Linked DNA regions of Daphnia pulex. The protein of the gene in region 2 binds, or shares a complex with, the protein of the main gene of each other region. Links are inferred from orthologs where the notes say so. Each region holds a gene or a part of one and is shown on either strand. Other genes may lie near its edges.

Evidence for each region.
Region 1: splicing factor 3B subunit 3-like (region 2) and splicing factor 3B subunit 6-like share a complex: the UniProt entries of both Drosophila melanogaster proteins name them as parts of the splicing factor SF3B complex. The link is inferred for Daphnia pulex from reciprocal best matches to the Drosophila melanogaster genes Sf3b3 and Sf3b6.
Region 3: splicing factor 3B subunit 3-like (region 2) and microfibrillar-associated protein 1-like share a complex: the UniProt entries of both Drosophila melanogaster proteins name them as parts of the spliceosome B complex. The link is inferred for Daphnia pulex from reciprocal best matches to the Drosophila melanogaster genes Sf3b3 and Mfap1.

What each region holds. Positions count from the first base shown.
Region 1 is NC_060019.1:12,853,451-12,856,161, forward strand, and holds splicing factor 3B subunit 6-like, read right to left. Parts: upstream 1,308-2,711; 5' UTR 1,178-1,307; coding exon 1,148-1,177; intron 1,034-1,147; coding exon 915-1,033; intron 858-914; coding exon 638-857; 3' UTR 576-637; downstream 1-575. Other genes in the region: dolichyldiphosphatase 1-like, read left to right, coding at 24-152, 215-344; pantothenate kinase 3-like, read left to right, coding at 1,761-1,860, 1,922-2,112, 2,180-2,353, 2,422-2,589, 2,674-2,711. UniProt on the Drosophila melanogaster protein: Involved in pre-mRNA splicing as a component of the splicing factor SF3B complex. SF3B complex is required for 'A' complex assembly formed by the stable binding of U2 snRNP to the branchpoint sequence (BPS) in pre-mRNA.
Region 2 is NC_060019.1:9,348,323-9,352,776, forward strand, and holds the start of splicing factor 3B subunit 3-like, read left to right. Parts: upstream 1-1,566; 5' UTR 1,567-1,721; intron 1,722-2,047; 5' UTR 2,048-2,103; coding exon 2,104-2,329; intron 2,330-2,394; coding exon 2,395-2,565; intron 2,566-2,752; coding exon 2,753-3,029; intron 3,030-3,221; coding exon 3,222-3,372; intron 3,373-3,583; coding exon 3,584-3,825; intron 3,826-3,992; coding exon 3,993-4,171; intron 4,172-4,230; coding exon 4,231-4,386; intron 4,387-4,454. UniProt on the Drosophila melanogaster protein: Involved in pre-mRNA splicing as a component of the splicing factor SF3B complex, a constituent of the spliceosome. SF3B complex is required for 'A' complex assembly formed by the stable binding of U2 snRNP to the branchpoint sequence (BPS) in pre-mRNA.
Region 3 is NC_060019.1:11,265,344-11,269,444, reverse strand, and holds the start of microfibrillar-associated protein 1-like, read left to right. Parts: upstream 1-1,202; 5' UTR 1,203-1,345; exon of another isoform or gene 1,346-1,413; intron 1,414-2,126; 5' UTR 2,127-2,617; coding exon 2,618-2,835; intron 2,836-2,904; coding exon 2,905-3,223; intron 3,224-3,288; coding exon 3,289-3,367; intron 3,368-3,429; coding exon 3,430-3,587; intron 3,588-3,650; coding exon 3,651-3,977; intron 3,978-4,039; coding exon 4,040-4,101. Other genes in the region: ADP-ribosylation factor 6, read right to left, coding at 8-89. UniProt on the Drosophila melanogaster protein: Required for pre-mRNA splicing.

The DNA.
Region 1 (2,711 bases), about 3.5 Mb from region 2:
TAATTCTCTTGCTTCATTATTAGGATTTATCTTCAGTACCACACTGCTTCCCAAGTAATAGTAGGGGGATTACTTGGATCTGTTTTAGCAGTTTCGTGGTTCTTATTTACGCAATTCGCTCTAACGCCGTGGTTCCCAACTGTTGCATCATGGTTAGTTTTCCTCAAAAGTGTTTCCATGCCGATAACATGCAATATTCATTGTTATTTCTTAGGAGAGTGTGTGAATGGCTATTGGTGAGAGATCAAACATTAATCCCTAACATTATCTGGTTTGAATATACATCTCACCGGAGCGAATCAAAGCACAGAAGTCGAAAATTGGTCTCCATGAAGTCCCAGTAAAACTGGCTTGAAAATAATTTTGTGTTCAGTAGCTGCAGTGCAATTGTTTGTCTGTTTACTGTGCCTACAAATCTGTTATTCTTGAAAGCCGGATATTTCGTGAATATTCTTTTTAGAAAAAACATTTTTGAGTTGTAATAACTCGTGCAAATCATATTTGATATTCCATTACAATGGAATACCTCACAATTACACTGGTTGGAAAAGGGTCAATACTGGTTACAATTCACATAGTGAAAATGGTTTTTTTATTATACCAAATTGTACAATGAGAAATGAGGTCAATTTACATGTTATTCATCATTCAATCCAAATTTAGCCTTCATGCTTTCTATCTCTTCTTTCTTCTTGTCTGTGTCAACCTTTTTGAAGGCCTTTGTAGGTTGATAATAGAGTACTACAAGGTAACGATTGCAGACATTAAAACCAGAAAGATGATCACAAGCATTTTTTGCATCAAAAATGTCTTCATAGACCACAAAAGCTGTTCCTCTGGTTTCTGGAGTGTTCCCTCTATCAAATCAAATGAGTTACAATTGATGCTAACATATATTATCAATTTCTACTTACACTCTGATTTGCCGAATAGCTCCGTATTTTCCAAAGATATCATACATTTCTTCTGATGTAATTTTATAGGGAAGATTTCGGACATATAGGATTCTGTTTACTTCAGGAGGTAACCTCACCTGAAAAATAAAAATATTTAAGAAATGCTCACATGGAAATCTTGATGCACAACAATCTTGACTCAATATAATAAACTACTAATGATAAAAAAAAATTAACACATGATTGCATACGTTTAGCTTTTTCTGCATTGCCATCGCCATTGTTAGGAGTAAAATTCAGTTAAAACAACGAAATCACTGATCAATACAATTCAAAACTGTGCTCGTGAACTTGACAATAAGAACGCCGCTTGGTATTCAAAATGGCTGCATAGCAGACGACGATTCTGAGCTGACAGAATAAACAAAACATTATTTTCGTGTAATTCAATTAATTGGTTTTATGCACTAGAAAATTTGATTCAAATTAAATACTAAAAAAATGTATATATATCTCATAAAAATCTTTTCCTAGCTCAATTTACTCTTCACATTTTAATATTTTGGCAATGCTGATGTTTTAGCAGACGAATTTGTGTCAAATGAGGAATAGCATACTCAAATAAGAGAAAAGGAAAGGGGAAAAGTTTCCACATCGTACGACCCGAATTCCTTTTTCTATTGGTTCGAATATCAAGATATGATGCAGATGGCCACTATTCGAGTCGCGTAAACTGAACTGATTCGCTACTTCCGATATCAATTAAATAAAGGGATTTTTAAGCTTCATCCGGTGCTGTGCATACAATAAAGAATTGCTGGGATATAACTAAAGAAAGCACATTGAAATTCTGCACATTAACAGATGTCTTCTGATCACGAAACACAATATGGTCGCACAATGGATAGTGTAGAAAACAGGGTAACAAATGGCCATGATTCAAGTTCCACAGTTGTTCATTCTCGTAAGTATTGTTATTTTTAATCAATTAGTTGTGATAATAAACAATTATTTTTATTCTACAGCTAGCATGCCCTGGTTTGGAATGGATATAGGTGGAACTTTAGTTAAATTAGTGTATTTTGAACCAACTGACATTGCTCCTGAGGAAGAGAATGTAAGTTCGTCAGAAATTGAAACCTTACACAACATTCAAAAGTATCTCACTAGTAACAATGCTTATGGAGAGACAGGGCACCGAGACATTCATCTGCAGGTGTTTACATCTTCTAATCTTTCCTATTTTATCAGAAATTGATTTCAGTATAATTTTCAAATTTCAGATGAGTTCAATTCCAATGGGAAACAGAGTAGGAACATTACATTTCATCAGATTTCCTACCTCTGAAATGGAGCAATTTCTGCAGCTAGCAAAATCTAAAGGATTTGCCTCTCTGTCCACAACCATTTGTGCCACAGGTGGAGGTGCATACAAGTTTGAAAAAGACTTTTTAAGGGTTTGTACACTTTATGCAGCTTTGATTTCTTTTTCTTTTTTCTTATCTTGTTATACGGTTGTCTGTAGGCTGTTAATTTAAATCTACATAAATCGGACGAACTGGAATCCCTTATCGGTGGGCTCTTGTACATTGAAGAAATTCATCGTCCCGAGGTTTATTATTGGGAAAATCCAACTGACGAAACTAAGTGCGTAAAAAAAACATATGACTTCAAGAACCCATATCCGTTTTTGGTAATTCCATCATTTAAAAACTTTATTAACAAACAAATGACTTTAATTCTGTTGTTGTTACTTTCATCTGATTTTATTTTCTAGCTAGTAAATATTGGTTCAGGTGTGAGTATACTTGCTGT
Region 2 (4,454 bases):
AGCTCTAAAAAATCCCTATTGAGGTTGATTTGTTTCTGTATAGTCAGAGAGGATAACCTTAATAAGATGGCATATGGAAAGTTAGAACTTGTTCTACTGTACATCAGATAAAAACCACGAATGCGCGTACATGGCTTATAGCGGTTGCAGCATGTTATATTACGGAACAAGGGGATTTCATACCGCGCCCAGCAGCGCCTTATCTCAACGCATTTATGACAGTGTAGAAAACTATAATCTCATGCTGTTCCCGACGACGACGAAAGTTGGCCCAAAACTACCGACTGCTGATATCGCGTATACAACAACAACAAGTCGACGATGTTAAATTCCAAACGTCGAAGAATTTCGCTGCGGCTATCTTTTGGAAGATGCTGCAATAAAGGCTGTTCCAAAGAATGCAAGGACAACATCAAATTCTTCGTTTTTTCTAGTTTCGTTTTTTTTCAAACCTCTAAACTTGTTCTTAATAGGAAACATCAAAAGTCAAGAGTTGATTTCCGACTGCAAGCCGTTCCACATTCCATCACTGGCGACAGAGGACGAGTTAATCGGTAAAGTTCGGGAACTCGATTGTTTCAGTCAATATGAATTGAATGACTCGAAATGAATTCAACGGTACATTATGAATTGAAAAAAAAAGATAAGTGCTTCAACACCCTTATTCGTTATTCCTTACCGCACCGCAAATAAAAATTTTTGAATAAGAAATTTTAAAAGATAGACAAGTTCGGGATGCTGAGTTGCACAACCGCAAAATTAGGATCGTGCGCCAACGAGTTTTTGTAACGTTGTGGGGATAGTAGAAAGCGGGTTTTTTATTATTTAAGCATAGAATTACTTATCTAATCTTAGAAATGTTCAGGATTATCGTTGTTTAGAACATTCTGCTTTTTATAGAGTAATTTTAAATGTATAATTCAGCTTAGTTTACCCATTAAAATTAAAGAAAGTCCAAGCCTGGGATGCTGTTTAGTCTTTTCTTGTGTTTTTTGACAGATCTGCTGACAAGTGACAAGCTCAAACACACAAGAAAAGACTAAACAGCATCCCAGGCTTGGACTTTCTTTAATTTGAATGGGTAAACTAAGCTGAATTATACATTTAAAATTACTCTATAAAAAGCAGAATGTTCTAAACAACGATAATCCTGAACATTTCTAAGATTAGATAAGTAATTCTATGCTTAAATAATAAAAAACCCGCTTTCTACTATCCCCACAACGTTACAAAAACTCGTTGGCGCACGATCCTAATTTTGCGGTTGTGCAACTCAGCATCCCGAACTTGTCTATTCAAAGCGTGGCTGCATGGTGGTTCTAGAGAGAAACTCGCGCGCATAGCAAGGGATCGGAATATGAACACGTCTTTTGAATTACTTTATGAGTAATAAAAACAGCTGTGAATAAATCATTCTTGATTATCACCACTGAAATTTTTTATTAATTTCACAATTTTATTGTATAATGCATTATGAAATCGTTCTATAAATAATAATAATAATTTAAAAAATCTTGTGATAAAGAAAGCGCAAATGCATTGAAAATGCTGTGTTTAGGGATAGACCAAGTAGAGAGTCGATGTCAGATGTTCAAAAATATTGCCTATCACACAATGCACGAGAAGTCGAACCCTAAACTCGAGCGCGACGCCGGAGCCAAGAGAGATTTCACTCAACCTTTGCTGAATTTTCCATCATGGAAAATCTGTAACATCCACAGGTAAATTCAAGTTTGACTACACATTTTAGTTCCAGATAGTTGAAAAGCAGTTATTTTGATGGTTAAATGTGTGTTTTTGGCGATGTTTAAAATATTGAAGCATGTCAATTTGAAAACCTTGCCGGGTGAGATGCCGGGGCTGTAGTTTCTTTCGCGTACTCGTCTAGCTATTAAAGAAAAGAAAACCCCTTACAACTTTACCGCCTTTCTGTGAATTAAGTTTGGTGGCTATACATGAGGGGGACATTAATTTTCAAATGGTGTGTAACATTGTCATTAAACATGTTGGACAAATGTAAGAATTATATCTGATAACATTTTCGCAGGTGATGCTCATCTAGGCAGTTCAAGTTACACATTGGACACGTCAACTTGAAAGAAAATGTATCTTTACAATCTGACTCTGCAGCGTGCCACTGGCATCATTCAGGCAGTCCAGGGCAACTTCAGTGGCACCAAGCAACAGGAGATTGTCATTGCTCGTGGAAAGGTACTCGAAATTGTGAAGCCGGATCCCAACACTGGCAAAGTACACACACTTCTCAGTCAAGAGGTTTTTGGAATCATCAGGTCAATCATTAGTTTCAGGCTTACTGGAGGAAATAAGGGTGAGTTGTGCAAATATAATTTTTAAAACATACATCCTGCTAACTTTCATTAATTCTGTATTTAGATTACCTTGTGGTCGGATCAGACTCTGGGCGAATTGTCATTCTTGAATACAATGCTGCCAAAAATGTGTTTGATAAGGTGCACCAAGAAACGTACGGCAAAAGCGGTTGTCGTCGGATTGTTCCTGGACAGTACATGGCAATTGATCCCAAAGGCAGAGCTGTTATGATCAGTAAGTTTTGATCCGTTTTTAATTTAAATTCTTGCAAGTGATGAGTTACGTTTTTATGTCTTCTTTCCCCATCTGAGAAAGATAATGCTGATATCTAACGTTTTTACTGAGAATTTTTTAAAATCGAAATCTTGTGGCTTGAGAGTGCGCATTGCTTTAACATTTATGTTTTTTTTTTGCATTGCAGGTGCTATTGAGAAGCAAAAACTGGTCTACATTCTGAACAGGGATGCCCAAGCCCATTTAACCATTTCTTCTCCGCTGGAGGCTCACAAGTCAAACACTCTAGTTTACAACATAGTGGGTGTTGACGTGGGATTTGAAAACCCTGTATTTGCTTGTTTGGAGATGGATTATGAAGAGGCCGATGGTGATCCAACAGGCGAGGCGGCACAGAAGACGCAACAAACGCTTACATTCTACGAACTCGATCTGGGTTTAAACCACGTCGTTAGGAAATATAGGTGCGTAACAAATCTTGGTGATTTTGGTTTTGCCTGGTTGGGTTTCAAAACCCCTTAACTTTACTGCTCTCTTGTCACTTAAAGATTGCAGCTATACATAAGGGGGACATTATCTATCATAGTGTGTAACATTGTTGACTTATGTGTGACAATGTAAGAAATATTTTGATGAACATATCTTTACTTTAATAGTGAGCCGTTGGATGAGCACGCCAATTTCCTCATCACTGTTCCTGGAGGAAACGACGGACCTTCCGGAGTTCTGGTTTGCTCCGAGAACTACATCACATATAAGAATTTGGGTGAACAGCATGACATTCGTTGCCCAATCCCCAGAAGAAGGGTACGTTTGATCATTTCATTATGTTATTTGGCGCGCGGTATCTCCAGCCGTGTTCTATACACGTGCTGGTCGACTAGTGCCTAAACTATACTTGGAGATGTTTGCATCGTTGGATTGTAATGCGCATATTGCATGCTGTCCTGGAACGAACCTCCGATAAGTTATTTATTCCATGTATTGAGGACGGTAGTAATAAGTTTTTTCTCTGTAGAATGACTTGGATGATCCGGAAAGGGGCATGATTTTCGTCTGCTCGGCTTCCCATCGCACCAAGGCCATGTTTTTCTTCCTTGTCCAAACGGAGCAGGGCGATATTTTCAAGATCACCATGGATATGGATGAAGAGGTGGTGAGAGAATTGAAAATCAAGTACTTTGATACCGTTCCAGTTTCGTCCAGCATGTGTGTGTTGAAGACAGGCTTTCTATTCGTCGCATCGGAATTTGGAAATCAGTTAGTTTTCTTAAATTTTTTTTTCTATTTGCTGAAATGATGTGTATTGTCATCCGTGTTTCACCTGAGATAACACTTTGATTATAATTTTTGACTCTGATTTCGGTTACAAAATTTGAAGTAGTTTTATGGGTTTTCAAGTGTATTAATTTTCCTTGTGTTATTAGTTATCTTTACCAGATTGCTCATTTGGGGGATGATGACGATGAACCCGAATTCAGCTCTACTATACCATTGGAGGAAGGAGATACTTTCTTCTTTGCTCCGAGACCTTTGAAGAATCTTGTTCTCGTGGACGAGATGGAGTCTTTATCTCCAGTTCTGGCCTGCCATATTGCTGATCTCGGTAGGTTTGATAATTCCTCCTGTTTTGAAAGGTTTTTAACATTTGTTTTCAATTTACAGCCAATGAGGATACACCCCAGTTGTATGCACTTTGTGGTAGAAGTTCTCGTTCGTCTCTTCGTGTTCTCCGTCATGGATTGGAAGTATCGGAGATGGCTGTTTCTGAACTTCCCGGTAACCCCAATGCAGTGTGGACTGTCAGAAAACGTGCCGACGGTAATTTTAATTTGTGTTGTGCTCAGCGGGCGTGTCACATTGTGCGCGCACGTGAGCGACTGGTGGTT
Region 3 (4,101 bases), about 1.9 Mb from region 2:
ATCTCACTTGTTTTTCCAGCTGCATCCAGCCCCAGCATGAGTATCCTCATTTCCTTGTTTCCGAATATTTTGGACAGTATTTTCCCCATTCTCCTAATCAGCTCACTAACAAGCTGTTTTACAAGAAAAGAACTTTATTTCAAGCAACAAAATGACCCTGTCAGCCACAGCCATATAGTTTATCCACATCTGTAGAACTGAAGTGTCAAACTAGTTTGGTAACTTTTCAGTGACATTTGTGGCAAAAGTTGTTATCAGAAAAAAATAAACAGACTTTGCTCAGTCATTTACAGCATACTAGCTAACATACTATTATCAGATCAGGTTTTCCACTTACTTTAATGTAGACTCAACAATGACGTTTACTGGAATTTTAGCTGTAATATGGAAGTATTTTCGAAGGCATTCCTATGAACCGGAGTCGTTATTTGCACAAACACTATTTTGTTTTTGATGTGAGCACTAAGAAATCGATGGAAGGCGTTGGAAACAGGCGAAAATAAATAGTTTCTTTGCTTCTTCAGATAAAAAGGCACCTGTCACTTCAGTTAGCCGCCCAAACACCCGACCCGGTCTTCCCGATATCTTTGCAAGTCTTCAGAAGATCCAAAAAACTCGGGCCTTCCAATGTAATGAACAGACAGAATAGTACTCCTTGCATCTCACCAGATGGCTTTTTTTTCCTTCTTCCAATTTTGGTGACGGCGGCGTCTGAAAACAACTAGCTATTTCAGACTTTAACACATTCCACTCAACTAATCAATTATTTCTATTATTACACTTATTCAAGTGGAATAACGAGAGGAATGACATACACACACCAGTGTAATTGAGCAGATGGAATTCCAACACTGACAGCCAGTGTCCCCTTTTCTGCCCACCTTCTGATCCGCCCACCCAAGCTTCGATTTGATTCGATTTCAAAACCATTCCCTAACCGTCAACGTGTTCCCTCCCACATCTTTAAAATGTATTATTGAAACAACGAGTGATAAATTATTTTATTATAATTTTTAATGCAGGATTCATTGGTTCGAAAGGGGAAAATTTATTTAGCAGTTTCTAACATTTCTAAAAATTTGATCGGCAATACGGCAAGTGTTTAGTAGCGACGTCTATAATTTCAATTTAAGTAGCGGTCTCTGGCGTCAAGATTACGAAAGAAAAGTTGAAATTCATGAACACATTTTTCTTTTTAGGTTGCCGGAAGTCGACAAAATGCCTCAAGCCGGATCCCTATCTCCTCCCTTAACCCCCCGCAGCAACAGCTAACAGGTTGTCTCGGCTATCAAAGTGCATTTAAGGAAGCTGAATTACTCATTTTACAACTGAAACATTTCACCATGTAAGCCGCTAGCCGTAGTCTTTTGTTTTTTTTCCAAAAGAAGCATATTCACCATAAATATGTTCATGGTTTGTACATAGTGTTTCTATACAGTCACCGCCACCATGTTATGACGTTTTTTTGATGGATTGTTATTTCTTGTTGTTGCTTTTCGGACACATGTGTACTTGACTACTCAAAAGATTTGCTTTTCTCCCACAATACTTATTACTGGTTAGGTATTTTTCTATAAATAAGCACACTAGTGCTTGTTGCCTGGAAAGATTTATTTTAGCTCCTTTCTTTTATTACAGTACAAAACAGTTATTTATTAAGAAATAAAATGGAGACATCGAAGTAGAATTTCGAAACCGCACATTATTATGCTATGACGATAAAAAAAAAGCGGTAGAACCACCAAAAATATTCGGTTAAACTTTCGAGCGGATATATTTAGTGGAATATAGCGTGAGGTAAATTTTGAAGTGTGTGTCTAATCGATGTCCTTGAGTTCAATATCTTCGACGATCCGGTGAAAACTGCACGAAGTCATGCGGAGCTTTGAATACTTTGGTGTTTCGAAACAGTTGATAATAAGCTGAAACTCGTAAAACCACCGCCATTGCGATCAAATAGTGCGATGTGTAAAATCTAGCTACGACATAAGTAATTTCCTACAAAGTAAGTAGTAAGTAGGTAGTTGCTATATACAATAAATGAGTGATTTATTGTAACGTCATAATGAGGTCCAAATTCCTAAATTCCGACATTAATTTTCTCAGATTTATTTCGTGATTCTTAGGCACTTCAAGGTAAACGAGATTCCTCACGGTTGCCAATCCCTGGATAGAACTTGGCGAAAGGTCTCCATGGATTTTGGTCACGGCCTCTTTATCCTGATCCTGCTATCAGCTAATAAAACTCAGATAAAACTATCGTGTTTGCATTGTGTTGCCTAGAAGCAGCATAATCAGATTTTCAGTGGATTACAGCAACATCAATTGCTGGGTACTGGTCACAGTCTGCAATAACATGTCATACAATATTACGTGCCATAGGAGACGGCAAAAGTCACGTCATTCTTTATTTCAATTTAAGTTCTTAGATGGCGCAGTAGTCGTCTTCAATTTCATTCGCCAACAGAGGACTCTGCACTCTGGTGATCCGATGAGTGGCCCACTGGCCCTGAATAGAGTATGCAATGGCAACGAAAAAAACATTGAGTGAAAATTCAGACAACAAACGCGTGTATATGGTCGTTCCGTATTAAGATTAAGACAATTTTTTGTGAAAATGTCGTCATCCAAAGTGGTCCCTATCCTTTCAACCGCGGGTGCTATCCCTGTGAAAAATGACAAAGGGGAGATATCTATGCAAAAAGTTAAAGTCAATCGTTACGTATCAGGCAAACGACCAGACTACGCTACTACACATTCATCTTCAGATGATAGTGATGAAGAAGAGTTTATCAGACCAAGAAAGCAGGCAAGAGGAAGACCAGTAGAAGAAAGGTATTAAATTATTGATTGTAGATATGTATTTATATGCTTGTATATTTAAAAAATTTGATTAAATTGTAGTCCTGAAAAAGAATGGGACGAAACCCCAGATCTTCCACTTACTGCTCACAGTGACAGAAGATTAAAACGTCTTTTAAATCGTGAAGTTGACGACCATAGAATTGAAAGGCATCGTCATATCCATGAGCCTGAAATTATTGGAACAGAAGAAGATGAAGTAACACCTCATTTAGAAAGTGAAGAAGTAAGTTTTAGCAAAAATGCCCGAAGATGGGAATCAAGTGAAGAAGAGGATGAGGCAGAAGATCTTGATGAAGATGACATTGAGCGCAGAAGAATGATTGCACGTCAGAAGGCTGTTATTAAACAGCAAGAAGAAGTAAGTTAATATACTTTGTAGTATGATCATTGATCAATTCAATTCAATTGCAAATTTTGTTGTAGGAGTTGTTGGCAAGAGAGGAGGAGAAGGAAAGTGAGGAAGATGAAGATGACGAAGCTTCAGAATATGAAGAATATACAGGTTTGAAATAAAAGTCCCTTGATGTGAACAAGACTCTAAATCTGTTGTGTTTTTTATCCTAGATTCTGAGGAAGAAACGGGTCCAAGACTGAAGCCCATCTTCGTTAGCAAGAAAGAACGTATAACCATAGCTGAGAAGGAAAAGGAATTGCAAAAACAAAAGCTTATGGAACTTGAAGCTAAAAAGCTTGCCGAAGAACGTCGCCGCTATACCTTAAAGGTAAACCATTTTTAAATTTATACACTTTTTGAACTAAAAAAGCATTAAAAATCTATTAAACAGGTTGTTGAAGAAGAAGTCAGAAAAGAAATGCAAGCCAAAGACGAAAAAGACCTTGAATCAGGAATCTTGTCGGTGTTGACGGATGCCGAGGATGAAGAACTCGAATACGAGACCTGGAAATTACGTGAACTTAAACGCAATAAGCGTGACCGAGATGAAAGAGAGGCAGAAGAAAGAGAACGACAAGAAATTGAACGTATCCGTAATATGACCGAAGAAGAACGGCGACTGGAATTCAAGAACAATCCAAAGGAAGTCACAAACAAGGCACCAAAGGGCAAATATAAGTTCCTACAGAAATACTATCATCGCGGTGCCTTTTACCTCGTAAGTTCAGCTTTTAAAGATATTTGGGATTTTAAAAATAATTTAAACTCTTACTCTAACAGGACGAAGACAAGGAAGTTTTCAAACGCGATTTTGCTGTGCCAACTCTTGAAGATCACTTCGA